Linked DNA regions of Canis lupus familiaris. The protein of the gene in region 1 binds, or shares a complex with, the protein of each later gene. Links are inferred from orthologs where the notes say so. Each region holds a gene or a part of one and is shown in the gene's direction. Other genes may lie near its edges.

Region 1 (3,500 bases):
AAAAATTAAGTTCAGAACATTTCCTCATCTCTAATTCAATTTAAAATTGACCACCTAAAGCAAAAATCAAGTTAGTATATTCTCACATTACTTTATAGTTTCATAAAGGAAGTCTGGTGTATAAATATGCATTTTTTTCTCTTTTAGTAAACGAAGCAAAAAAGGAGATAAAAATGGAAAAGGCTTGAGACATTTTTCCATGAAAGTATGTGAGAAAGTTCAGCGGAAAGGTACAACGTCATACAATGAAGTGGCCGATGAGCTGGTATCAGAGTTCACCAATTCAAATAACCATTTGGCAGCTGATTCGGTAGGTAGATCATGCACTTGACATTGACTATGATGAGTGATAGAACAGTGTATCTCTAGGTTGACTGTGTCTTTTTTTTTTTTTTTTTTTTTTTTTTGACTGTGTCATTTTTTTAAGGACTCAGACAAGCTAGGGAATCCCCAACTCCTTTACGTGAGGGTTTCATATTGTCTTTTGGGGAATTCTTCTGTTGAGTTTTGTTTTAGAAAGGGTTCTTTTATTATCTATTTAAACATAAAGATTAGCATGTATTTTTTAAATATACTTTGGGGAGTTACAAAAGGAACATACTTTTTTAAAAAGATTTTATTTGTTTATTTGAGAGCACAGCAGGAGGAGCAGCAGGCAGAGAATATTCATAGAACATTATAGACATATTTATGGAACATGTAAGTCCTCTTTTTAACCACAGACCTTAATCTTTCTCCACAAAGGCATATTCACTATTACCAGATTCTTTAGTATCATCCCCAAAGTTCCTTAGGCATACACATAATAAAACCTATTCCCTATTTTATTTTATTTTATTTTATTTTATTTTATTTTATTTTATTTTATTTTATTTTATTTTATTTTTAAGATTTTGTTTATTTTGGAGAGCTACAGAACAGTTCTGTCACTCCCAAAAGGTTCTTTCTGCCTTTTGTAATGTATCCCTCCTTCCCTCCTTCTCCCTCTATCCCTAGGCAATTGCTGATCTGCTTTTTATCATTATAGATCAATTTGCACTTTATTTAAATGTGATCATATTATATATACTCCACAATTCTTAAAATAGTTCTTGACCTTACTGGAAATATGTTTAATATTCCAATCTTAATTATGACAAGGGTTTTATTTTGAAATGATAGCATCCATAACTTGATTTTTTAAATGAATGTTTCTTTTTTTAATTTTTTATTATTTATTTTTAAGATTTTATTTATTCATGAGAGACACAGAGATGCAGAGACACAGGCAGATGGAGAAGCAGGCTGCCTACAGGAAGCCCAATGTGGGACTCGATCCCAGGATCCTGGGACCACACGCCAAGCCACCCAGGCATCCTGAATGTTTCTTTTTTCTTAACTAAAAATAATCAGAAATGGATATTTAATTTATTCCAATTTTGTGTAGTTTTGAAAATTTGGGTATTTTACACTGACAGTCCTAAATGAGATTGATGTAATCTTTTTGTTTTTACCATCTTTGCAGTTGTTTTTTTTTTTTTTTTTTTTTCCATCTTTGCAGTTTTGATTTGCAGTGTTATGCTGGGCTTTTTAAAATTTAGAGGGTTTTTTTCCTTCTTCCACTTTACTCCATTATAGGTTTAATAGCATTAGATGTGTATTTTGCTTCCCTGACATTTTATAGAATAGAAATCACCTCTGATACCATCTAGGCATGGTGATTTGGTGGGGGGTAATGCTTAGATAGCATTCTCCATTTTTACTTTGGTAATTAGCCTGTTTAGAATTTTTGTCTCCTTTAGTATTTTATGGTTTCTTAGAAAATCCTCCATTTCATACATGTTCTTAAAACTATTTGCAATTATTTTTCCCAAAGAACCATCTCCTAAATTTGTATGGACTCTTCTGTTTTGTAGTTAATTTCTTTTTTTTTTCCTATGTTCATTTAATAGTATCTTCTCTTTCCTGAAGTTACTTTTGTTATTTTTCTATCCTGTAGATTATGATATATACTTTATTTACTTTGATTATTTTTGTTTAGTAATGAAAATGTTTTTTTTTTTTTTTTTATTTATTTATTTATTCATGAGAGACACAGAGAGAGGGGCAGAGACACAGGCAAGGGAGAGGCAGGCTCCTCACAGGGAGCCCGATGTGGGACTTGATCCCTGGACCAGGGATCACACCCTGAGCCAAAGGCAGACGCTCAACCACTGAGCCACCCAGGCGTCCCAATGAAAATGTTTATAGCTGTGACTTATCCTCATGTGCACTGCTTTAGCCATTTCCCATTGATTCTGATATATTACTCTTTAAATATTCTGCAACTTTGGTTTTAGTTTCCTCTCTGACCTAAGAATGGCATTAGAATTTTTATATTTCCAGGTAATAGGGATTTTTTTTGTAAATTGAACTATTTATATATTTTTTAAAATTGCTTTGAGATTTTTCTTGTGAGCCATTATTTGGTAATGCATTTTTTTTCTTTTCTCTGGCACCTGTAGAGAAGGTATGTCGCATTCTGATTCTGAGTGAAAGTGGAAATTTTCAAAATGTTCTACAAGACCTATATGATCTAGCCCACCATTACCTCTCTCATCTCATCTCCTACTAGGAACTCTCCCAGTTACTATACTCTAGCCACCTTATGATAAAAGTTTTATCTTGAAATTATAGCAACCATAACTTGATCTTTTAAATGAATATTTCTTTCATTTTTCTTAATTAAAAAATTCAGAAATGGATATTGAATTCAATCAAATTCTGTGTGTTTCCTGAAAATTTAGGAGTTTTACACTGACAGCCATGAATGAGATTGGTGGGTTTTTGTTTGCTTTTTGTTTCGGGGTGAATATGCCAGGTACGTTCCTTATCAGACTGTTAGACTTGCTATTTCCTATGTCTGAATCTCTGCTAAGGAGCCATATGGTTTCTCTCTTCTCTCCAATTTTTATTCAGATGTCACTGTACCGAGGCATTTCTTCTTAACACATTTTATCATCTAATATAAATTTTAACTTACCAACCCCATCCTCATCCCTGAATACAAGCAAGAGTTGGGGGTTTTCTGTCTATTCACTGCTGTGTTATTTTTTTTTTATAAATATATAAATTGGAAGGTTTGTAGTCTTTAGTTCTTTAACTGGTTATCTTTATAACTTTAAGTAACTTCAGTATTTTGTTTCTTTTGTTGTTACCTATAAACCAATATCTGTTGATTATGAAGGGAAAAAGTTAATATGCTTCTATCTACTTGCATGTCCCATCTTTTGTCTACCACAGATACAGATTGAATATCTTAGTGGTAGTTGTTAAAAGAGTAATATTATTACAGTTTGTTTTTATGACTTTAAATAAATATATTGTGCCAAAACCTGTGTTACTATTTACTTCATCTGTTTAAATAGTTAATCTGCTTTGAATCCCATACCCCTTAAAATAGCAAGGAGAACACGAGCAAGCCTATTTTGTTGTCTCCTCCTGGTATTTTTTTACTATATTATCATTATTTCCACAGTGCC
Region 2 (2,862 bases), on another chromosome or scaffold:
GGCTTCAAAAGTGGGGGCAGTGTCTTCCCAGGGGACGTGATGTCATTTGCCTTGAGTCTTCTTTTTATCCTGCGATTTGGGTATTCGCTTCTAGGACTCGTTCTCCTCAGCCCACAAGCACCAGTCTCTTCTCACTGACACTGTCCTCTGTGTTCCCTCTCTCACCTTCACTGGGTCCTTAACTGAAACTAGCTTTTCTCTGTCAGTGTGTACCCTACTATTGGCCCTGGTCCCTCAGGCCTGACACCTGCACATCATTCTGCTTCCATCTCCTCTTCGCTTTGCATTAACTGAGTTTTGTCTCAGACATCTCCCATCGCTGCCTTCATGTCCTCATACTCAGGGTCATTACTGGCTACCTCTGTCCTGAATTCTTCGGCATCTTCCGCTCTACCCTGACTGATAGGGTTGTCTGAAACACAGGTTGTGTGTGCCATTTCTGAGTTTACAGAGTACCTCCAACAGCTTCTTAAGGGCTGGTGGGTAAGAGCAGAGCCCCCTCACCTGGTATGTGCAGTCCTCGTGCACCAGCACTCTGCTAGTTTAATTTTCCCCTGCTCCACACGTGTGTCCTCCAGTCAGACCTTTGTAGCAGACTTGTCACCCTGTAGCACCAGCGCCTATCGAATGTCTGCCTGCTTTGCCAGATGACCTGGTCCCGGGTGTGGTCGCTGAGCCTAGCATTGAGCAGGTGCTCAGCAAGGGCAGGAGTGAGTGGGGCAGCCGCCATCAGACAGGGCATACCTACTGAGCCCGTGAAGGGAGGGGTCTGCTGCCTTTCTGCAGCACTTCTGAGTTAGAAGGGCCGTATCAGTCACCTGCGATGAGCCTTTAGTACCCTGGGTACTCAGGAGTTCACATCTAGCCAGGGAGACTGACAACGCCAGCTTGGCCTGGGGCATGCCCTCCACCTCCAGCTGTGTGGAGCCCCAAGATGGGTGGTAGATCTGAGGAAGGTGGGGGCTGGAATGGGACCAGACTGGATCTCTGTGCCCTCCAGCATGGCTTTCTTGTCTTTCAGTTCTGGAACTCCCCAAAGAGCTGTCAGAAATCTTTGATCCCACAAGAGGTAGGTCTGCACTCTTCCGTGGGGTAAGGGTCTCATGGTTGTTTTCTTGCACTTCTGAGGCCCTGTGATTGCGTTTGGTACCTGGACAAAAAGTTCTTGATGGGGGGGTGGTGCGTGGAGGGCCCTCTTCATGGGCTTTGGTGGGTGGAGAGCCAGGAGCCAAAATGTAACCCAGCTTTTCCTCCCTCCAGAATGCATGAGCTCAGAGCTGCTGGAGGAGCTGATGTCCTCAGAAGGTGGGTGGCCCAGGAAGGTGGAGGGTGGGGGTGGGAGTGGGGGCTGGGCAACTGCTGGGGGCTGTGCTTGGCCCAGGGCCTCAGCCTGGTGCTCTCTGCAGTGTTTGCCCCCCTCCTCCGCCTATCTCCACCCCCCGGAGACCACGATTACATCTACAACCTGGACGAGAGTGAAGGTGTCTGTGACCTCTTCGATGTGCCTGTTCTCAACCTCTGACTGACAGGGACATTCCCTGTGTGGCTGGGACACAGACTGTGTGACCTGGGGGCTGCCTGAGGACCTCCCCTGCTCTACCCCTACACGGCTTGAGAGCCACAGACTCCTGGCTTCCCCAGCCTTCCCTCACTGCAGTTCTGATCAAAACTCCCACTCCTGCACGAGTAGAGCACCTGTACCGTGCTAGGAAAGCAGGGGAAAGGGGCTCAGCCCCCTTCACCATGGAGCCAGAGCGTTTGCCTCTCCTTTTCTGGGGCTTTCCCCCACCTCATGCCCTCTCCGAGCCCTCTCAGAGCCAAGGCTCGGCTGCCACTCAGTGGCACAGATCTGAAGACCTGCCATCATCCCCATAGGGCAGCTTGTCCAGCCCCACTGCCCTGTTCCAGCCAACGCCTCCCACTCTGGGGAGGAAAGCTGAGGGTGGAGCCAGATGCTTGCCAGCACCACTCCGAGCCTCCTTCCCTTCTCCCCACCCCTGACCCTGCAGCTTCCCCTAGACCTCTCCTGTGTACCCCTCATCTGCTGGACCTTTAGCTCTGAGTACCTATGGGGGCGGGGGGAGGAGAATGGCTGTCAACCAGAAGGAACAGAGAGGTCTTTAGCTAGAAATCTGGGCAGGTGAGCCCCTGAGGATTGGCCCAATCTCCTGCTGCCCTGTAGACCAACCCTCCCTTCTTGTTTATTCATTTACCCTCATTTAGAGCCATTTGCAGAGATTTAGAAAGATTTGCAGTAACGAATGGATTCCTATATAAAGATTATTTTTATACTTTTTGCAGCAAAAGAAAATTGTAATATTTGTACAGTATCCAAGTGAATAAAAGACCATGCCTAAGGCTATCTCTGATCTGGTTCTTTCAGGGCCCCTCCCTGCAATTCTGCTGGATTGGTGGTGGGACCGGGCGGGTCACCTTTGTTGGAAAGGGAGGTGTGGCTGTTGCGGTATCCCGCCCTCCCCGCCCCCACCTGGCGCACCTAGGGGCGGGGCGGGGCTGCCGGGGCGGGGCAGGGCAGGCGCCTTCCCACGGGACTCCAACCCGGAACTAGTCTCGGCTCCCTTGGGAAGGCCGCGGCCCCTGTCCAGGAGCCGGAGCCTGACCCGTGAGTGCGGGCCACGGGTCCAGGCCTTGGACAGAGGGACACCCTCGTTCTCGGAGGCACCAGACCAGGCGCTTCCTTGGCCGGACGTTGGACGGTCTGGAAACTACAGGCGCTCCTGCTCCGGCTGGACCATGGCGCCCCCGCGGAACGTGGTGAAGATCGCGGTCCAGAAGCCTGACGCCATCCCGCAGCTCATCCGACTGGACCAGGTCACTCGGCCTGTCTGGCCTCCATTCATC
Region 3 (3,500 bases), on another chromosome or scaffold:
TCAACAGTAAATGTTTCTTTTTTTTTTTTTCTTTAAGATTTATTTATTTGAGAGAGGGCACAAGGGGGAGGGGGGCAGAGGGAGAGGGAGTAAAGCAGACTCTGTGCTTGATCCCACAACTCTGAGGTCATGACCTGAGCCAAAAGCAAGAGTCAGATGCCTAACCAACTGAGCCACCCAGGTGCCCCGACAGTAAACGTTTTATAATTGTTTTTCTGCATTTGGTCCATTTCTAGTACCCTGAAATGGTTGTCTTGGACAATCACAGTCCAAGTACAGTATACCACCTCCGTTAGTATCAGAACAGTGGAAACACTCCTGAAATTCAGGTTCCAAGATGCCAACCGTGCAGGCAGGCCTTTGTGAGGATAACGATCTTAGCTGTAGTGTATTAATCTTTTCTGAACATCATCCCAGCCTTTTTTTTGTAGTTAAACTGTTCCTAGTGTTTCACTTGAGTATAATAACTAAATTTCTTCTGTCAACTTTTTTTTTTCAATTTGGGGTTTAAAGCAATGATTTAAAAATATTTTTCCCAGGTAGATATATGATTACTTCAAATATCAAATTAGCGATCATCATTTATAGTTGTATTTAAATTTTTTTTGTTGTTTCTCTAAACCTAAAATCCTTCTTTGAAACTAGAATGGACAATAATACTATACTTTCTATATTTTAAATATATATATTATAAATATATATATATTGGAGCAGTTTAAATTTGACAATTTGTTGTATCTTCCAAATATCTTAATGTCTTTTTGTTTGTTTTTCCAGCTCGATTACGAGGTGTTCATGATGGTCTCTTCACTGGACAAATAGATGCGGTGGATACTTTTAATGCTACCTATAGAGTAACTTTTGATAGGGCAGGGCTTGGAACCCATACCATCCCTGACTATGAAGTTCTTGTAAGTATTTCATGATACCTTCTGTTTTATGCCTATTAAATATGCTATATGGGGCACCTGGCTGGCTCAGTCAGTAGAGCATGTAACTCTTGCCCTTGGGCTTCTGAGTTCGAGCCCCGTGTTCTGTGTGGAGTTTACTTTAAAAATAAAAAATAAAAAAAATTCTTTTTAAAAATTTTATTTATTTGAGAGAGCACACACAAGCACGGGGAGCAACAGGTAGAGGGAGAAGCAGGCTTCCTTCCCACTGAGCAGGGAGCCCAACCTGAGATCCCAGCGCAGGACCCCGGGATCGTGACCTGAGCTGAAGACAGATGCTCAACCGACCAAGCCACACAGGCGTCCCAAAATTTTAAAAATCTTAAAAAAAAAATGTGTAGAATTTTCTACAGACTGTATTTTGTGGTAGAATCAAGACTTCAGGTCACGGAGGAAGAAATCCTTAGGAGTTTGCGGTCCTACCTACCAGGCCCCTAGACCAGAACTACACTCAAGTCTTCAGCATTGTCTAGAAGTAAACATCCTTCCATTATACCCATAGAGCATTTTAGTGTGACAGAACTCATTAAATAACCTTGGGGGATAAGCTACAAGATACTTTTATTCTAGCTATTTTTTTAAAGTATGGTCATCTTGCAAAATTATTTTAAAAATATGAAGTAATATCTTGCATGTTAAGATTTATTCTTCTATTTTATCCTCAGGATTATGCAGGGTAGATGTTAATTACCCTCATTTTTTGCATGATGAAACTTAAGACATAGTACATTAAATAATTTATTCAAGGCTCTAGAGCTGGTTTCCTGACAGGGTGAGAACAGATTCCATATCTTTCAAATTCTTGAATCAGTCCTTTAAGCTACTAGGCCATTACTTCATGCTCATGTGTGATTTAGCAGTGTCATGAGAGTTATGCACCTTTCTAATAAGTCAAAATTATTTTAAGAAGACAACCAACTCTGCAATCTAATAAAGTTTTTAAAAAGTTGAATAATGAACTTTCTTTTTTTTTTAAGATTTTAACTAATCTCTGCACCCATTGTGAGGCTTAGACTCACAACCCTGAGATCAAGAGTTGCATGTGGCATACTGTACTGACTGAGGTGGCTAGGCACCTCAGTAATGAACTTTTTATAACAGAATTGTTTGCCTTTAGGACACCTGGGTTGCTCAGCAGTTGAGTGTCTGCCTTTGGCTCAGGGCATGATCCTGGAATCCCAGGATCAAATCCCACATTGGGCTCCCTGCCTGGAGCCTGCTTCTCCCTCTGCCTATGTCTCTGCCTCTCTCTGTGTCTCTCATGAATAAATAAAATCTTATTTAAAAAAAAAAAAAAAGAATCGTTTGCCTCTAAGCATTATAGAAATTAAATTGTTCACTTTTAATCTTTCTTTTTTCATTTCTTTGTTGTAAACTTGATTTTTAAGGATTGTCATCTTACAATTAAAAATCAAAATTTCTTTATCTCCTTAGTGCAAATATAGAAGAATCTTCTTTTTCTGATATGTACTTTTTAAAAATTAAGACTGTTTATTGTGAGCATTTCCTTATTTTTTTTAATAAATTTTTATTTATTTATGATAGTCACACAGAGGGGGGGGTTGGGGCAGAGACACAGACAGAGGGAGAAGCAGGCTCCATGCACCGGGAGCCCGACATGGGATTCGATTCCGGGTCTCTAGGATCGCGCCCTGGGCCAAAGGCAGGCGCCAAACCGCTGCGCCACCCAGGGATCCCGAGCATTTCCTTATTAAACATACTTTTTTAAAGAGGAGAAATGGGAGAGAAAATTTGGGCTATATTTGTAGAGCAAAGTATACGAATCCTAAGTGTTTTTCCTTAAAGGATGCAATCTTTCAACCTCCCCTTTCAAAAAAGGAAAGTTGCTTTTCTGGTTCATTAATGCAGTTTCCTTTATGAGATATTTCTTGCTGGACAGATAAAAGAGGACTCTAACTGCAGAAGGTAATACTGAGACAGCCTTTAGCCCATAACAAGCACAGATAACCATAGTACACTAATATTTTTTATTTTCCAAATATTTCCGTCCAGTGGTCTTTTTCTTTTCTTAATTCTTCTATTTTGTGAATTACTTTTTTGTGTGTGTGTGAGTTACTTTTTGATCGCAAAGTAGTGTTTTCATACTCGGACTTCAATTTTAGCCCTCTGACCTTTGTAGAATAATAGATTCTGTGATAAATCATAGCACATGAGTTGGTACACATCTCCAGCTGCAACGTAATGTTTATAAAGCTAAGATGATTGGTAAAATTCTTCAAGATTTCTGGACTTTTCTCTTTTCTCAAAGAGTAATGAGCCTCACGAGACAATGCCAATTGCTGCCTTCGGACAAAAACAGCGGCCTTCTCGATTCTTTATGACTCCACCACGATTACATTATACTCCTCCTCTCCAATCACCGATCACAGTAAGTAATATTTTTTAAATGTCATCAGTAATTTAAATGATTATTATGAATGGGAGTTGGTTTTTATGAAATACAAATCATTAAAGCAACTTTAGAAAGTAGCTGCATTATTTTAAGTTGTCAGTTATTAAATAAGCAAATAATTGCTTCAACTCTGGAAT
Region 4 (3,500 bases), on another chromosome or scaffold:
AGCACTGTCGCTGAATCCCGGACGAGGTGGAGCAGATATCCCCACTTCACAGGTGGGGCTCCAGAGGTCAACTGACTTGCTGAGCTCCCCCAGCTAAGAAGGAGGCAGGCCCAGGTGGGAACCCCCATGGATGTGACTCCCAGGCCTTTGCTCAGGCTCTCCTTGGCTCTCATCTTTCTGGGCTTGTCTTTTGCCACCTCTGTTCTGTAGGCCCAGGCCCATCTGTGGGCTATGCCCTAAGGTATCAGGGAGATGGCCTTGGAAGAGGGACATTTTGCTGCTTGAGGTATAGGATAAGGGAAGGGACTGAGAAACGGAGGGAACTGGTATGTCTGCATAAAGTAATGGGGGAAGGTGGGCACAGCCAGGTCTTTGCTCAAACTGCAGAAAATTCTGGGGAATGGTCATGGGATAGAGCTGAGATGGCCTAGTATGTGGTTTGGGGGCCAGACAGTCCTGGGTTTAAACTCTGGCTCTACTCTTTGCCCGTGTGACCTTGGGCATGTGTCTTACCCTCTCTGAGTCTCCACTTCTCATCTGCAAGGAGAGATTGCCAATACTGATGTTGCAGGACTGATGAGCACGTGATAGGCCCGATGCAGATATTCTGTTCAAGGTCCTTCCTATCTTGTACCCGCTCTTCAGGTAGTGAGGTTCTTCCTCCTGTGTTCTGTGAACTCAGCAGGGCCTGGCTCCTGTTGGGCGGGGGAGGTGGACCTGGTTGGGGTGACTCTGGGCTGTCCCGGCTCTGCCTCAGGTAGAACTCAGCTTGACTTCCCTTCCTCTCCTTGCTCTTGGCATTCTTCTTGAGGGATGTGTGCACGGTCCTGGGATGGACAACTTTGACCAGGATTGATAAAGACCTTGGTGCTCGCCAAGTCCCGGTTACTTCAGCTGTTAAATGGGGGTTGGCAGTGCTGGGGAGACTCTGTGAGGCGCTGAATGTTGGGGCTTAGCCCGGGGCATGTGGAAGATCTCAATGAATGACTGGGCCTTTCTCTAGAGACAAGATAGGTCACATTCCCTAGAATCTGGGATTCAGCAGCTGAGAGGTTAAGAAAAGAATATTCCAGGGGATCCCTGGGTGGCTCAGCGGTTTGGCGCCTGCCTTTGGCCCAGGGCGCGGTCCTGGAGTCCCGGGATCGAGTCCCGCGTCGGTCTCCCGGCATGGAGCCTGCTTCTCCCTCCTCCTGTGTCTCTGCTTCTCTCTCTCTCTCTCTCTCTCTCTCTGTCTATCATAAATAAATAAATAAATAAATAAATAAATAAATAAATAAATAAATCTTTAAAAAAAAAAAAAAGAATATTCCAGAGAGACTTCAAGAGGAATGAGCAGGGAAGTGTTTGGATCATGTCCAGGTTTGGCTAGGGGTGGAAGCCTCATATCCAGGCTTCTCAAAAGAAGGAGAGGTATAGGACAAGGGGAGGGACAGTGAGATGGAGGGAACTGGTATGCCTGCATAAAGTAATGGGAGCAGGTGGGCATAGCCAGGCCTTTGCTCAAACTCCAGCAAATTCTCAGGGAATGGGTGTGGGATAGAGCTGAGACAGCCTAGTATGTGGCTTTGGGGTCAGACCTGGAATCAGTCCGGGAGGACTTCCTGGAGGAGGCAGGAGCGGGGAGGGGAGCTGATGGCCGGAAGAGCTGTCACCACTTCCCACACCTGTCACCCCAGCTGTGCTCAGCAGCAGTTAGAAGTCTCAGCCCTGCCGAGCATGACCTCACTGTCAAAGGTTAAAATAGACCTCTCTGCCCCAACCAACTTAGAGGTGTCTGGGTGATTAGGGAAGAGGAAGAAAATAGGCTTGGTGGCCCCTGAAGGGTGTGTCAAGGAAGACACCAAGCCTGGATTTCAGGGAAGGGACTCTGTATGTTCTGAACACCTACTGTGTGCTGAGCCACAGGCTGAGCACTTTGCAGGACTTATCTCCTTGATTCCTCACCACGGTCCCTCAAGGTGGGTGTTCTCTGCTCCATTTTACAGAGGAGGAAACTGAGGCTCCTGGATGTGGAGCGCTTCCCCGAGTCCCACACACACAGCAAGCCCGTGAAGGAGCCGGGAGAGTCAGGTCCAGGCCTCTGACCTGTGCCCCAGTGCCCCAGTAGCCTAGCCCTGCCCCTGCCCAGCCCTAGCAGGAGAGAGGCCCCTTCCGGGCCAGTGCAGCTTCTGGGCCTAATTGGGGCCTGGTGGCAGCGGGGTGGAGAAGAGCAGATGGGTCTGTGGTTTGATTTCCCCAGCAGGTGTTTCCCAAGCTTGGCGGGAACAGGCAGGGGGAGCAGGGGGACCTCAGCTGTTTGTCCTTGAGATGCAGGGGAAGGATTCATTGTCTGCCCCTCTCGGCAAAGAAAGAATGGCAAATGGAGTCTATTCAGGAGGCCCTGGGGCCCCGGGGCCCTGGAGCTGGAGCCCAAACATGGGGGTGGGGAATGTTTGCTCTGCTTCCCGAAGTGGGCACCTCCCTGGGGTGTGGCACTGAGCCAGGAAGTCCCCTGGGCCCGGGCGGATGCCCAGCCCCACCCTGATAAGGGCCAGCTGTGGGGCTGTGATGGGCACCAGGGCAGGCGGGCCAGCTGCTTTTGCACTTGCTGGGGTGGGAGGCTCTCCCCAGCCTGATGTGGTTTGAGTCCTACCCACTCCTTCCTCCCTGCATCATCCTCTGGGCGTGGGGGTGGGGGGTGGCGGATGTAGAAGTGACCCTGGGGCCTGTAATTAAGGAACCTTGAGGTCTTGGCCAGACTGGCTTCCGTAACCTTCGAGTACCTGGGCCTCAGGATGAGAGTGTCGTGTGCTCCTCCGAAAATGGGACTCCCTTTCCCCTGGAGGCTCACTTGGCCAGTCGCTGCTGGGTCCTCACCAAGTGCAATGAGGTTTCACCAGGACTGGGGGTAAATCGAGGCAGAGAAAGCAGCTGCTGGTGGCCTCTTTTCCCCGACTTGGGGTGGGGGGGAGACTGAAGGAGAATGATTCTCAAACTCTGCCTCTCTCTCTCCTGTCTCCAAGGCCAAAAGGAAGCTGGACCTGGAGGGGATCGGGAGGCCAGCCATCCCTGAATTCCGGACTCCCAAGGGGAAGTGCATTAGAGTGGAGGGCCTTCCCAGCCCCAGAAGTAAGCCCAGCTTATGGGGTGGGGGCGGGGGTGGGGGGTTCCGAGGGCAAGCTGGGCGGGCAGGGGCAGAGGGCAGCAGCAGCCTCACCCACATCATCAGGAGCCTATTTGTGGCGCACTTCCCGGTTTACAAAGCAGATGCCTCTGTGCTCTCTCAGGGGACCTGCCTGTAGGGCACACTATCCCCCTTTCACTGAGGAGGCAGCTTGTGTGACTTGCCCAAGGGCACACTGCTGGTGAGTGGGGGTCAGGACTCCAACCCAAGCCAGCACTGCTTCTCCCACGCCATATGCCACTCTCGTGACCAGAACGTGATGGCTGGTGTTGTACTTGGGAGCTTTTCTTTTTTTTTAAAAGTTTATGTTTTGTTCAGTCTGACCTTTTCTAAAAGA
Region 5 (2,914 bases), on another chromosome or scaffold:
AGTAAATTTAAAGGTCCAAAGCCATAGATGTGAATAATAACTAATAGTCCTTTATATGCAGTTTTTTTGAATATTTAAGCTACTGAGGTCTATTTTGTCTGGATCCCATCCTCTGACTTTCACGCAGAGGACGGCCTGTTGAGTGAACTCGGTACCTTTGCAGCCATCAGATCTAAACACAGCCTTGCCATTTGAGACTATGGGTTGTTTTAGATTTCTATGTCATCCAAGTACTGATTTTGGACTCTTAAGTACAGATTCCTAGAAGGGGTCGACTCCTTGAGTATCAAAAAACGGGCTCTTTAGTACAGAGATGATGACATCACGGCCCCAAAGTCATGACTGATAATCCAGTGGCTGTCGCGGCAGCATGAATTGGCCAGCAGCTCAGTCTGCTGGAGTGATTAAAGCCAAGTACATGATTCTCTCGAATACATGATAGAAAACCAATTTAAATTTTCAGAATACCACTTGAATTGAAACTTTGGTAGTTTTAGTAAGTGAAACAGTATAATTAATGAATTCTCGCATTCATGCTAATGTGTCTTTTGCCAGGACTCTATCACAGTACACATAAGGAGCACCAGAGGCCCCATCGATGTTTATTTATGTGAGGTGGAGCAGGGCCACTCTAGTAATAAATCGTCGGAAGGTGCAGGCACCTCTTCATCTAAAAACAAACATCCAGAACCCCCCAATAAAGGTAAATATACCAAGTTTGTGATTAGGAAAATTTAAGATTCTGATGGTATTTGATTATACACACACATACGCAGTCTTATTGTGGTTGATTTTTTTACACTTTCTGATCATAAAAACGGGAGTTACAGAATTACAGTGTCATTCTTCACTACAGTTTAGACGATTTCTAACAACTCTATCGTTACATTCCATGTCGTTTTGATCTCCTTGGACACTTAGGGTGGTAGTGGACCCCATGGCGGTGCCAGCTGGCAGTGTCGGAGCAGAGCAGACCGTGTGCACTCTCCGGGGCTTCCAGGTGTGCAGCTCAGCCCCGTTTCCCCTGTGAGCTTTACGGCGTTGGCCTCAGGCCCTTAGCACAACAGTACGGTTCCTGACCAGAGGTCTTGGGGGGTTTGTAAGCACTTGAATGATGTGTGCTGTTACCTGTCTGGCTTTTAACTCAGGAGAATTTCTTTCATGTTTCTTATTTTTCAGAAGAAAATCCTCCACAGCAAAGTGAAGAATTGCTTGAAGTAAGCAACTGATAGCATTTGAGAATTCGTGCACCGAGTTCTTGGGGAGCTTCCTGTGTGGGATGAATTATGCATCACATTTGATTCTCAGAGCAATAAATCGTCCATGAAATTCTCTGCTTCTGTCAGCAGCATCAAGGCCAGTAGTGGCTTTGAGTAGTTCACTACTGCGATTACTGGAGAATTATGGTTTCAGCATTTGAAAACGACTCTTTTTATAATTATTCACTGCTTTTTGTCAGTGAAATGGACCCTTGCCTACTGAAATAACTTCACAGAGTACCACGGAGGCAGACGGTCAGGCCTGAGGTGGACAGTGAGTGCTTCGCGGACTCTGCGCTTTTCTTCAAGGATCATGTGTCATTATAACAAAAGAAATTGCCTTACACGGGTTCACGTCTGCAGTTAGCTGTCGTACGTTGGATGGGTGTACGCAGGCATCCGAATGTGACGTCTTTGTATATATCTGTATAATGTTTAGATTACTTATGTAATATGTCTAAGTAAAACTTTTCACCCTTGTACAGCCAAAATAATGTATATATGGAAAATAACAGACAAATTCTCTAATTTCTGTGGTATCTATAACTTATTAGAATCCTCTCAGTGGGGGTTAGAGGAAAGTTTTTTTCCAAACTTCTACATGTAGAAGTATCATAAATAACGCTATACATTGAAAGCTCATGGATTTAATTAAAGTATTTCAATATGGTTCCCAGTGCTGAAATTGAAATCTGATACTTCGTGATTTCAAGCTCCCTGCAGGGTTATTGTGTCCAAGCAGACTGGTGGCGTGCCCTGAAGCCTTAGGGGCAAGTGTAGAAATGCTATCAGGTAATGGCTTCATTCGTTGCAAGACATGGATTTAATCATGGTGACAATTGGAAACTGTTTTAACCTTTTTTGCAAGCAGATTTTGTAGTACATTTCTGTACGCAGCCTTGCTTTTCAATCAGAAGGGTTTGCTTTTAATGAGTGGGCTGTACCCTGCCCTCTCTCCAGCTCTACTCCCACATTTCCAAGTACCTAGCTCTCTACCTCATTGGGTAAGTCACTTACCACTCTGTGCCTCAGTTTACTCCGTAGTTTACCATTAGACTGTGAGCTCCTTGAGGGACTTTGTCTTAATCATTGTTACACCCAGCGCCTTGCACCATGCCTGGCACATCAGAAGTGCTCAATAAATCTTTAAACAAATCAGCGAGTGAGTGAGTGGATTGTAAAGTAGGACCAGTAACCATGGCTTGTCTACCGTCCGGGATTCTCGTCAGCAGCATTCAGATTCATGTTTTAAACTTACCTTTCATTCCGAGAGAGATTCGAAGCAACTTGACGTTAAGACCGTGTAAAAAAAGATTTCAAAAAAAGGAATCAAATGAAAATACTTGAAAAATACTGCTGAGTGTCTAGGGTTCACTTAGCTCCGCGTTCGCGGGGGACTTGGGCAGATGTCCACTGGGAAGTGGCAGCTAGCGGGGGGTAGGCTGGAGACCAGAGGCCTGTGACCGTCATACGGAATAAAAGCCTTCCCCGAGCAGGAATAACGGGCGGGGGCGGGGGGCGGTAGCGCTGCCCAGAGTGACCTCGTCCTTCCCGGCCACCAGGTAGGTCCTTACTGCGAAATGTGACAACTGTCCCGCTTTACAAACTGTTCGGAGGGTAAAATGAGATGAGGTAGGCGAAGGACCTTTGGCAGC
Region 6 (3,500 bases), on another chromosome or scaffold:
CCCTGCTTTATCTTTCTGTATATAGATGCTACTCTTTTATCTGAGCCATTTGAGAGTTGGTTACATGTGTTTACCTCTCCATCCCTTAATACGGAGTCTGTATTTCTTAAGGATAAGGGCCTTGGTTTACATACTCACAGCATGCTAATGTCCAATTCAGAGCTTTTAGCACTGATTTAGGACTTCTAACAGGTCTATAATCTATATTCCATTTTCCTGCCCATGATCCAGTCTAGGACTAGACTTCTCACTTAGTTATCATTTGTTTTGTCTACTTTTATCTGAATAGCCCGTTAGCCTTTCTTAACCTTTCACGATGCTGGTATCTTTGAAGTGTAAGATAATGCCAGTTATTTTATAGACTCTCTCTCTCTCTCTTTCTCTGTAAGTAGGCACCATGTCCAGTGTGGAGCCCAGTGCAGGGCCTTGAACTCACAATTCTGAAATCAAGACCTAAGCTGAGATCAAGAGTTGGATGCTTAACTGACTGAACCACCCAGGCACCTCATCTGTGTCTCAATTTAGATTCATTTGAGTTTCCTTATTAGATCAGGTTGTACCTTTTAACTATTTTATTTACAAACTTTTTTTATGTTAAGCAACCTCTATGCCCGATGTGGGCTTGAACTCACGACTCCGAGATCAGGAGTTGCACACTCTTCAGACTGAGCCAGCCAGGTGCCCCAGGTTGTGCATTTTTAGCTAGAATACTATACAATGTGTATCTTATAACCGGAACTCTGAACAGTGTGCCCTTGTGTCCAACAGGGAAGTCTTATGACCAATTGGCCCCCAGCGCTTCCTGCCATGAAAGAAGAGGAAAGCAGTGAGGAGGAGGCCACGGCAGCCACTACTTCTAAGGAGCAGGGAGCTGTCCCTGCAGACCTGGGTGGAGTGCGAACACCAGAGCCCTTGGAGGACTTCCCTAAACGTGAAGACCAGGAGGGTTCTTCGCCAGAAACCAGCCTGCCCTACAAGTGGGTGGTGGAGGCCGCAAACCTCCTCATCCCTGCCGTGGGGTCCAGCCTCTCAGAAGCCCTGGACTTAATCGAGTCGGTAATGTTGGTTATAGCACCTCAGAGTGGGCCCAGAGCACCCGCCAACTGGGAGTGCTTCTCTCGTGGAGTGCTTCTCTCGTGGGTGGGCATCCTTCTCTTCACTCCCTCCTGCTGTCATTTCCTGAGCTGGTGCTGAGTGCCCCACTGGGAGCCAGGGCCTGGGGACACAGATAGTTGCCACATTGTCCCTGCCTTCAGCAACTCCTGACTCCTGCTCTGCAGTTTAGGTGGGGTGGGAGGATTCCCTAGAGGTGGCACTGCACTGAGACCTTGAGGATGACGAGGGGAGGGCATTTGAAGCCCATAACACAGCATAGGAGAGCATGGTGCTTGTGGCACCAGATTTAGGGCTGGGGCTGGAGTGCCGAGTGGGGTTTGCTAATTCAGTAACACTGTCTCTGAGGCTGCAGTGGCTGTGGATTGTACGTCGTGGGAGAGAGCTCCTCGCTGGGGGCTGCATCTCTTGATGTGACATCCCAGCTCCTTGCTGTGTCAGCCAGGCCTGCCGTGTGGAACAGTTTTCAGGAGGTGATAGGTGAGAGGCCTGGCAACTAGGGACAGCAGAATCCCCCCAGAATTCAGGGGGAGACACCCCACAGTGACTTTCCTCCTTGGGCTTTCCCATCCTTGCTAAGAATAACAATACTGTTTATTGACCATCTACCTAATGCCAGGCTCTGGGCTTAATGTATAATCCATACAGCATCTTGTGAGGTATATCCTTTCTCTGTTTTGTAGATGAGACTGAGGCTCAGGGAGGCTAAGTAGTGTCTCCACAGTCACAGTGAGTAAGGTTGGTGGTCTTCACTGTCTTGACCAGCCTCTTGCCTCCAGAGGCTGGGATTGGTCCCCGCTGTAGGGTCTAGCTGTGGTATCCCCTCTACTCTGAGAAATTTCAGAGTGGCATGAGAAACGGGTCTGATTTATTTATCAATACATTAAATAAATATCTCTGACGCTGCCATGTACAGTTCCTGATTCAGGCCCTAAAGGGAGAGTTGGATGAGAGTAGGACCCACGCTGTGCCTGGCACTGTTGGCATTTCATGGTGTTACCAGCCTTCATCCTCAGATTTTTCTGCTGCTTCTTCAACTTGATAGGCACAGAGAGGGCGAGAGGGGAGCTCAGTTTTACTGAATTCCTACTGGCATACAGTACTGCCCAAGCTGGCCTCACCCTTATGAACGAACTGCCGAGGTTCTCGAGAGTCCCAAGGACCAGCAGCCATCATAAGCATCTGGGTCTACTCAGGGCCAGACCTCCTGGGACCAAAGCGGAAGCCTCTGTCTCCAGCAGCCCTGTGGCTGGGTGATAATTTATTGGCCAAAGGAGAGAAGACTTGTCATGACTCAGAATTGCTCCCAGAAACTTAGCAACCTTGGGCAGATTGCATCCTCTCTGGCCTGGAAAGGAAGAAAGTAATGCTTGTCTGACAAGGTTCTCGTGGGGTGAGAAACAGTTTAGGTGAAGTGGCCACAGAGGATCCATGACTGATAGGTGCATGGAGCACATTCTCTAGAACTGTGGCCTAAGCCATAGGACCTAAGCCTGGTCACACAACCTCGGGCCTAAGACTTCATTTCTAGGAGTCTCTGTCAAGGAAGTTCCCAAAAATGCAGTAGAATATTTGTATCCAAGATGCTCATGAAGATGTTATTTTTAATTTTAAAAAGTTAGGGGAAGGGTGCCTTGGGTGGCTCAGAGGTTGAGTGTCTGCCTTTGGTTCAGGTCATGATCCAGGGGTCCTGGGATCGAGTTCTGCATCAGGCTCCCCATGGGGACCCTGCTTCTCCCTCTGCCTATGTCTCTCTCTCTTTCTCTCTCTCATGAATAAATAAAGTCTTTAACAAAAAATTAAGGGAAAAAACAATGTCCAACAGAAGAGGGGAATAGTTAAGTAACTGATGCATTCATATGATCGAATATTTTGCAGTCGTAAAACTTGTTATAAAAGTTGGAAATTTTTCACATGATAACAGATTTATTAATGGTAAACCTCTAACTCATAGGTAATAGAATTAAGTACTATTATTGTAAATAGAAAAACAGGATATCGAAATGATTTTTTTTAAGGCTAAAAACATGCAGAATCCTATCATTTAGGGATATGTATAAGTGGTAAAATGAAAGAAATGTGTAAGGATGGTAAATACTGAGTTCAGAGAGAGGGTGTGAACAAGGGGAGGTAGGCATGGGGCTTCACCAATTAGGTTTTAATTCCTAGGCTCCTTGACGGGTGTAAGTTTTCTTTCTTTGTACTTTTTGTATATCATATGTGTTGCTTTTTAAAAATAACTGCCATATGCGCAGTATGACTTCAGGTATGTTTGCAGATAGAGATATACAGATGTAGAAGAATCCTCAAGAAAATGCAAGAAAACATTCATGGTGATGACTCCTGGGCTGTGGATTCCTCCCTAATGCTTGTGTATTGTCCTTTAA
Region 7 (3,500 bases), on another chromosome or scaffold:
TTCACCTCTGCCTTTTTAGGTTCCTGTGCCAAGCTCTAGAGTGTGGTGGCTGAAATGGAGACCTGCTTGAGCCCTTGCTTTAGGGTGTGGCATTGACCTGTCATCACGGTGGGCATGGGCCTGAGGAGCAGGGAGATGAGGGGTGCAATTGGCAGGAGGATGCTAGGTTCAGGCCTAAGGGGTAAGGCCGGAGAGGAGACACACATGGCTTTTGGGGGCTGGTCTCTGGACGAAGCTGCAGGGAAGCAGGACACGTAGTAGGTAGGAATATGGGCTCTGGGTCAGCCCATTAGGGCTCACATCCTGGCCCTATCTCTCATTGTCAGGCCTCTTGGAAAGTAGAGGTCATCATGGCATCTGTTGCAAGGTCTGGGCAGAGGGTTTGATGACTGGATGCAGGTAAAGCCATTATTTAGCAGGGCTCGGTACACAAGAGACACTCGACATGTGTGAGCACTTCTATCCCCGGGGCACCTGAGGGCATCCATGAGTGTGCGATGAGAGTGAGGGCTCGTTGGCACGTGCAGAGGTTCACACAGCAGACGGGAGTTAACACCAGGCCCTGCGAACAGTGATGATTCCATAATTCCGGTCCAGCGCCTGCCTCGGGGCACTGCCTTCTGGGTGAGACAAATACATCTCCAGAAGTTGGTTGCAAGAGATATTGTGGGGAAAGGTCAGGTTTGAGGCATTTTGGCCTGGTCTCTTGCAGGATGAGAAGACCTAAGTAAGGAGTAAGGTGCCTTCCCGCAGAGGTGTAAGAGTTGGTGTGAAGGCAGGTGGGGCATTCATGGGAGGGAAACGGCTCAGGCTAACACTTGGAGGCACAAGTTTGTGAGAAAACACGTCTGAGCAGAAGTTTACGTGGAGAAGTGGCAGAGGAGGGCACTAGGGTGGAGAAGGATAGGTGGAGGCAGGGAGTTGGCTGAGTGGTCCAAATGGGAGGAGATAGTGGCTGTGGCGAGAGGTTTCTCAAAGGCTACCAGATGGCTGCCCAGTGAGGGTCTAGCTTGGGAAACCCCGTGGGTGGGGGAGGACTGGGGTGGGTCAGGATGGGCCTGAGATGCCTGAGATATTCTGGGGCAGTCTCCATCCTCCCGTGTGTGTGACTAAGAGGGTGTTCTGGACAGGAATCCTGGCTTGGCTGCTTCCTGGCTGTCTGACTTGGGCCTCTCTGGGCTTCAGTTACTTTATCCATAAAGTGGAGCCATTATTGTGCTGCTAGTCCATAGGACGGAATGAACTAACGTGCAAAACGTGGTGAGTACTAGCTGCCACCATGTTCACAGAATCCAGAGAGAGAAGGTAACTTGCCCAAGGGACCTGTATCCTAATGGCTTAAAACAACAAGTCCTTAATACAGCACTGTGTGTTAATATACTGGCATTGAAATTAAAAACAATAAAAAAGGGTAGCCCCCGTGGCGTCAGCGGTTTAGCGCCGCCTGCAGCCCAGGGCGTGATCCTGGAGACCTGGGATCGAGTCCCATGTCAGGCTCCCTGCATGGAGCCTGCTTCTTCCTCTGCCTGTGTCTCTGCCTCTCTCTCGCTCTGTATCTCTCATGAGTAAATAAAATAAAATCTTAAAAAAAAAAAATAAACCCCAATAACAAACAATTATTATCACACAGATTTTGGTGGGGCAGGAATTCAGAGGAGACTGCTCAGTGCTTCTGGCGCAGGATCTCTGCTGAGATCGTAAGCCAAAATGTTGGGCGAGGCTGCAGTCATCAGAAGGCGTGACCAGGGTTGAAGGACTTGTTTCTAAGACTGATGTTGCTACTGGACAAGGCCTCAATGCCTTGCCACTCAGGCTTGCGTGACATGGCAGTGGCTCTCCCCAGAGTGAGTGGTCCATTATAGAAAACAAGGAGGAAGCTCCAGTGCAGCTCTGACCCAGTCTGAGAAGTGACTTGTCATCACTTCCATCCTACTGCTCTTGAGAAGCAAGTTACCAGATCTGGTCCATATTTAAGGGGAGGAGAATTAGGCTCTATTTTTTTGTTTTGTTTTGTTTTGTTTTGTTTTGCTTTTTTGAAAGGGAGAGTATCAAATTTGCAGACAGATTTTAAAACTGCCATAGGCACCCAGGGAAATACTGGTGGAGCTAGAACTTAAACTCAGGTCTTCTGCGCCCCATGGTTGACTGATCTGTCCTGTGCGGTAGGACTGTGTCCCCTGGGATCTCCCCATCCCTCATACACATAGGCGACATGATAGAGAAAGTGGGGCAGGGGTGACCCAGGAGCACCAAGCCCAGAGCCCAGTCTTTGTGGCCTCGCTCCTGGTTATTAAATATCATCCCATTGTTTCTGCCACAGGTAAAGCGGAGGTTGGACCTGGAAACTGACCATCAGTACCTGGCTGAGAGCAGTGGGCCAGCCCGGGGCAGAGGCCGCCACCCAGGAAAAGGTACCCACAGAGCTGGGGCTGGGGCAGGCCCCCTGACCGGGCCCAAGTTGGGGGTGTGGACAAACATGCTTGCAGAGTAAACTCTGATCTGTCAGGCCTGGACTGGAGCCAGGCCTCTGGGGGCCCTGAGGGGCAGCTGGAGTGGCTGCCTGGCATGGCTTCCCCAGGCCCTGGGGGGTGGGGAGTTCCCCAGCCAGAAGAGGAATGTCTCGTGGTTGGCAGGCAGCAGCCCCAGGCCCTCATGGTTGGTTTTGCCAAGGGGAAGGAGCCATCTGCCCATCCCACTCCCATCTTTCGGCCCTGTCCTGCACTGCCAGGAAGGCTAGCCCACCTAGGTGTGGGGGTGGTACTGAGGGAACCCTCCTTGCCTGGACCCCTAGGTGTGAAATCCCCAGGGGAGAAGTCACGCTATGAGACCTCACTGAATCTGACCACAAAACGCTTCCTGGAGCTGCTGAGCCGCTCGGCTGATGGCGTTGTTGATCTGAACTGGGCGGCTGAGGTGTTGAAGGTGCAGAAACGGCGCATCTATGACATCACCAACGTCCTCGAGGGCATCCAGCTCATTGCCAAGAAGTCTAAGAACCACATCCAGTGGCTGTAGGTACCAGCCCTTCAGGAGGGCAGGCGGAGGCTAAGGCCTGGGGCCAGGCCAGCATGGAGGAGCTGATAGTGATCCCCACCGTGGCTGTCCGCATCCTCATCGTCTAGCTGGGGAAACTGAGGCTCGGAGGGGGAGGTGGCTTCTCTGAGGAAGTTTCCACAGATTTCACATACGCAGCTCAACGCACCCTCGTGTATTTCTTCGTCTGGGGAGTCACCATCCAGATCAGGATAAAGAACATGTCCGGCACCACAGAAAGTTCCCTGTGCCCTTCCCAGCTGTTGCCCATCCCTCTTAGCTCATCACCTCTTAGGTGATGGCTCTTATGCCCTCTGTCACCCTCAGTAGGATTGTTAATTCTTGTTAATTTTTTTGGAAAGACTTTATTTGACAGAGCACAAGCAGGGGGAGCAGCAGGCAGAGGGAGAGGGAGAAGCAGGCTTCCTGCTGAGCAGGGTGTGGGTCTCCATCTCAGGACCCTGGGA

Evidence for each region.
Region 2: TFDP2 (region 1) and E2F4 share a complex: the UniProt entries of both Homo sapiens proteins name them as parts of the DRTF1/E2F transcription factor complex. The link is inferred for Canis lupus familiaris from reciprocal best matches to the Homo sapiens genes TFDP2 and E2F4.
Region 3: TFDP2 (region 1) and LIN9 share a complex: the UniProt entries of both Homo sapiens proteins name them as parts of the DREAM complex. The link is inferred for Canis lupus familiaris from reciprocal best matches to the Homo sapiens genes TFDP2 and LIN9.
Region 4: TFDP2 (region 1) and E2F2 share a complex: the UniProt entries of both Homo sapiens proteins name them as parts of the DRTF1/E2F transcription factor complex. The link is inferred for Canis lupus familiaris from reciprocal best matches to the Homo sapiens genes TFDP2 and E2F2.
Region 5: TFDP2 (region 1) and E2F6 share a complex: the UniProt entries of both Homo sapiens proteins name them as parts of the DRTF1/E2F transcription factor complex. The link is inferred for Canis lupus familiaris from reciprocal best matches to the Homo sapiens genes TFDP2 and E2F6.
Region 6: TFDP2 (region 1) and MYBL2 share a complex: the UniProt entries of both Homo sapiens proteins name them as parts of the DREAM complex. The link is inferred for Canis lupus familiaris from reciprocal best matches to the Homo sapiens genes TFDP2 and MYBL2.
Region 7: TFDP2 (region 1) and E2F1 share a complex: the UniProt entries of both Homo sapiens proteins name them as parts of the DRTF1/E2F transcription factor complex. The link is inferred for Canis lupus familiaris from reciprocal best matches to the Homo sapiens genes TFDP2 and E2F1.

What each region holds. Positions count from the first base shown.
Region 1 is NC_049244.1:38,314,548-38,318,047, reverse strand, and holds part of TFDP2 (transcription factor Dp-2), read left to right. Parts: intron 1-147; coding exon 148-310; intron 311-3,500. UniProt on the Homo sapiens protein: Can stimulate E2F-dependent transcription.
Region 2 is NC_049226.1:82,754,895-82,757,756, reverse strand, and holds the end of E2F4 (transcription factor E2F4), read left to right. Parts: intron 1-1,021; coding exon 1,022-1,069; intron 1,070-1,260; coding exon 1,261-1,305; intron 1,306-1,406; coding exon 1,407-1,522; 3' UTR 1,523-2,362; downstream 2,363-2,862. Other genes in the region: ELMO3 (engulfment and cell motility protein 3), read left to right, coding at 2,755-2,832. UniProt on the Homo sapiens protein: Transcription activator that binds DNA cooperatively with DP proteins through the E2 recognition site, 5'-TTTC[CG]CGC-3' found in the promoter region of a number of genes whose products are involved in cell cycle regulation or in DNA replication.
Region 3 is NC_049228.1:38,560,401-38,563,900, forward strand, and holds part of LIN9 (protein lin-9 homolog), read left to right. Parts: intron 1-777; coding exon 778-911; intron 912-3,219; coding exon 3,220-3,339; intron 3,340-3,500. UniProt on the Homo sapiens protein: Acts as a tumor suppressor. Inhibits DNA synthesis. Its ability to inhibit oncogenic transformation is mediated through its association with RB1. Plays a role in the expression of genes required for the G1/S transition.
Region 4 is NC_049223.1:75,298,343-75,301,842, forward strand, and holds part of E2F2 (transcription factor E2F2), read left to right. Parts: intron 1-1,328; exon of another isoform or gene 1,329-2,505; coding exon of another isoform or gene 2,506-2,592; intron 2,593-3,002; coding exon 3,003-3,108; intron 3,109-3,500. UniProt on the Homo sapiens protein: Transcription activator that binds DNA cooperatively with DP proteins through the E2 recognition site, 5'-TTTC[CG]CGC-3' found in the promoter region of a number of genes whose products are involved in cell cycle regulation or in DNA replication.
Region 5 is NC_049238.1:8,166,891-8,169,804, reverse strand, and holds the end of E2F6 (transcription factor E2F6), read left to right. Parts: intron 1-555; coding exon 556-703; intron 704-1,179; coding exon 1,180-1,229; 3' UTR 1,230-2,414; downstream 2,415-2,914. UniProt on the Homo sapiens protein: Inhibitor of E2F-dependent transcription. Binds DNA cooperatively with DP proteins through the E2 recognition site, 5'-TTTC[CG]CGC-3'. Has a preference for the 5'-TTTCCCGC-3' E2F recognition site.
Region 6 is NC_049245.1:31,987,004-31,990,503, forward strand, and holds part of MYBL2 (myb-related protein B), read left to right. Parts: intron 1-768; coding exon 769-1,056; intron 1,057-3,500. UniProt on the Homo sapiens protein: Transcription factor involved in the regulation of cell survival, proliferation, and differentiation. Transactivates the expression of the CLU gene.
Region 7 is NC_049245.1:23,402,024-23,405,523, reverse strand, and holds part of E2F1 (transcription factor E2F1), read left to right. Parts: intron 1-2,320; coding exon 2,321-2,411; intron 2,412-2,791; coding exon 2,792-3,011; intron 3,012-3,500. UniProt on the Homo sapiens protein: Transcription activator that binds DNA cooperatively with DP proteins through the E2 recognition site, 5'-TTTC[CG]CGC-3' found in the promoter region of a number of genes whose products are involved in cell cycle regulation or in DNA replication.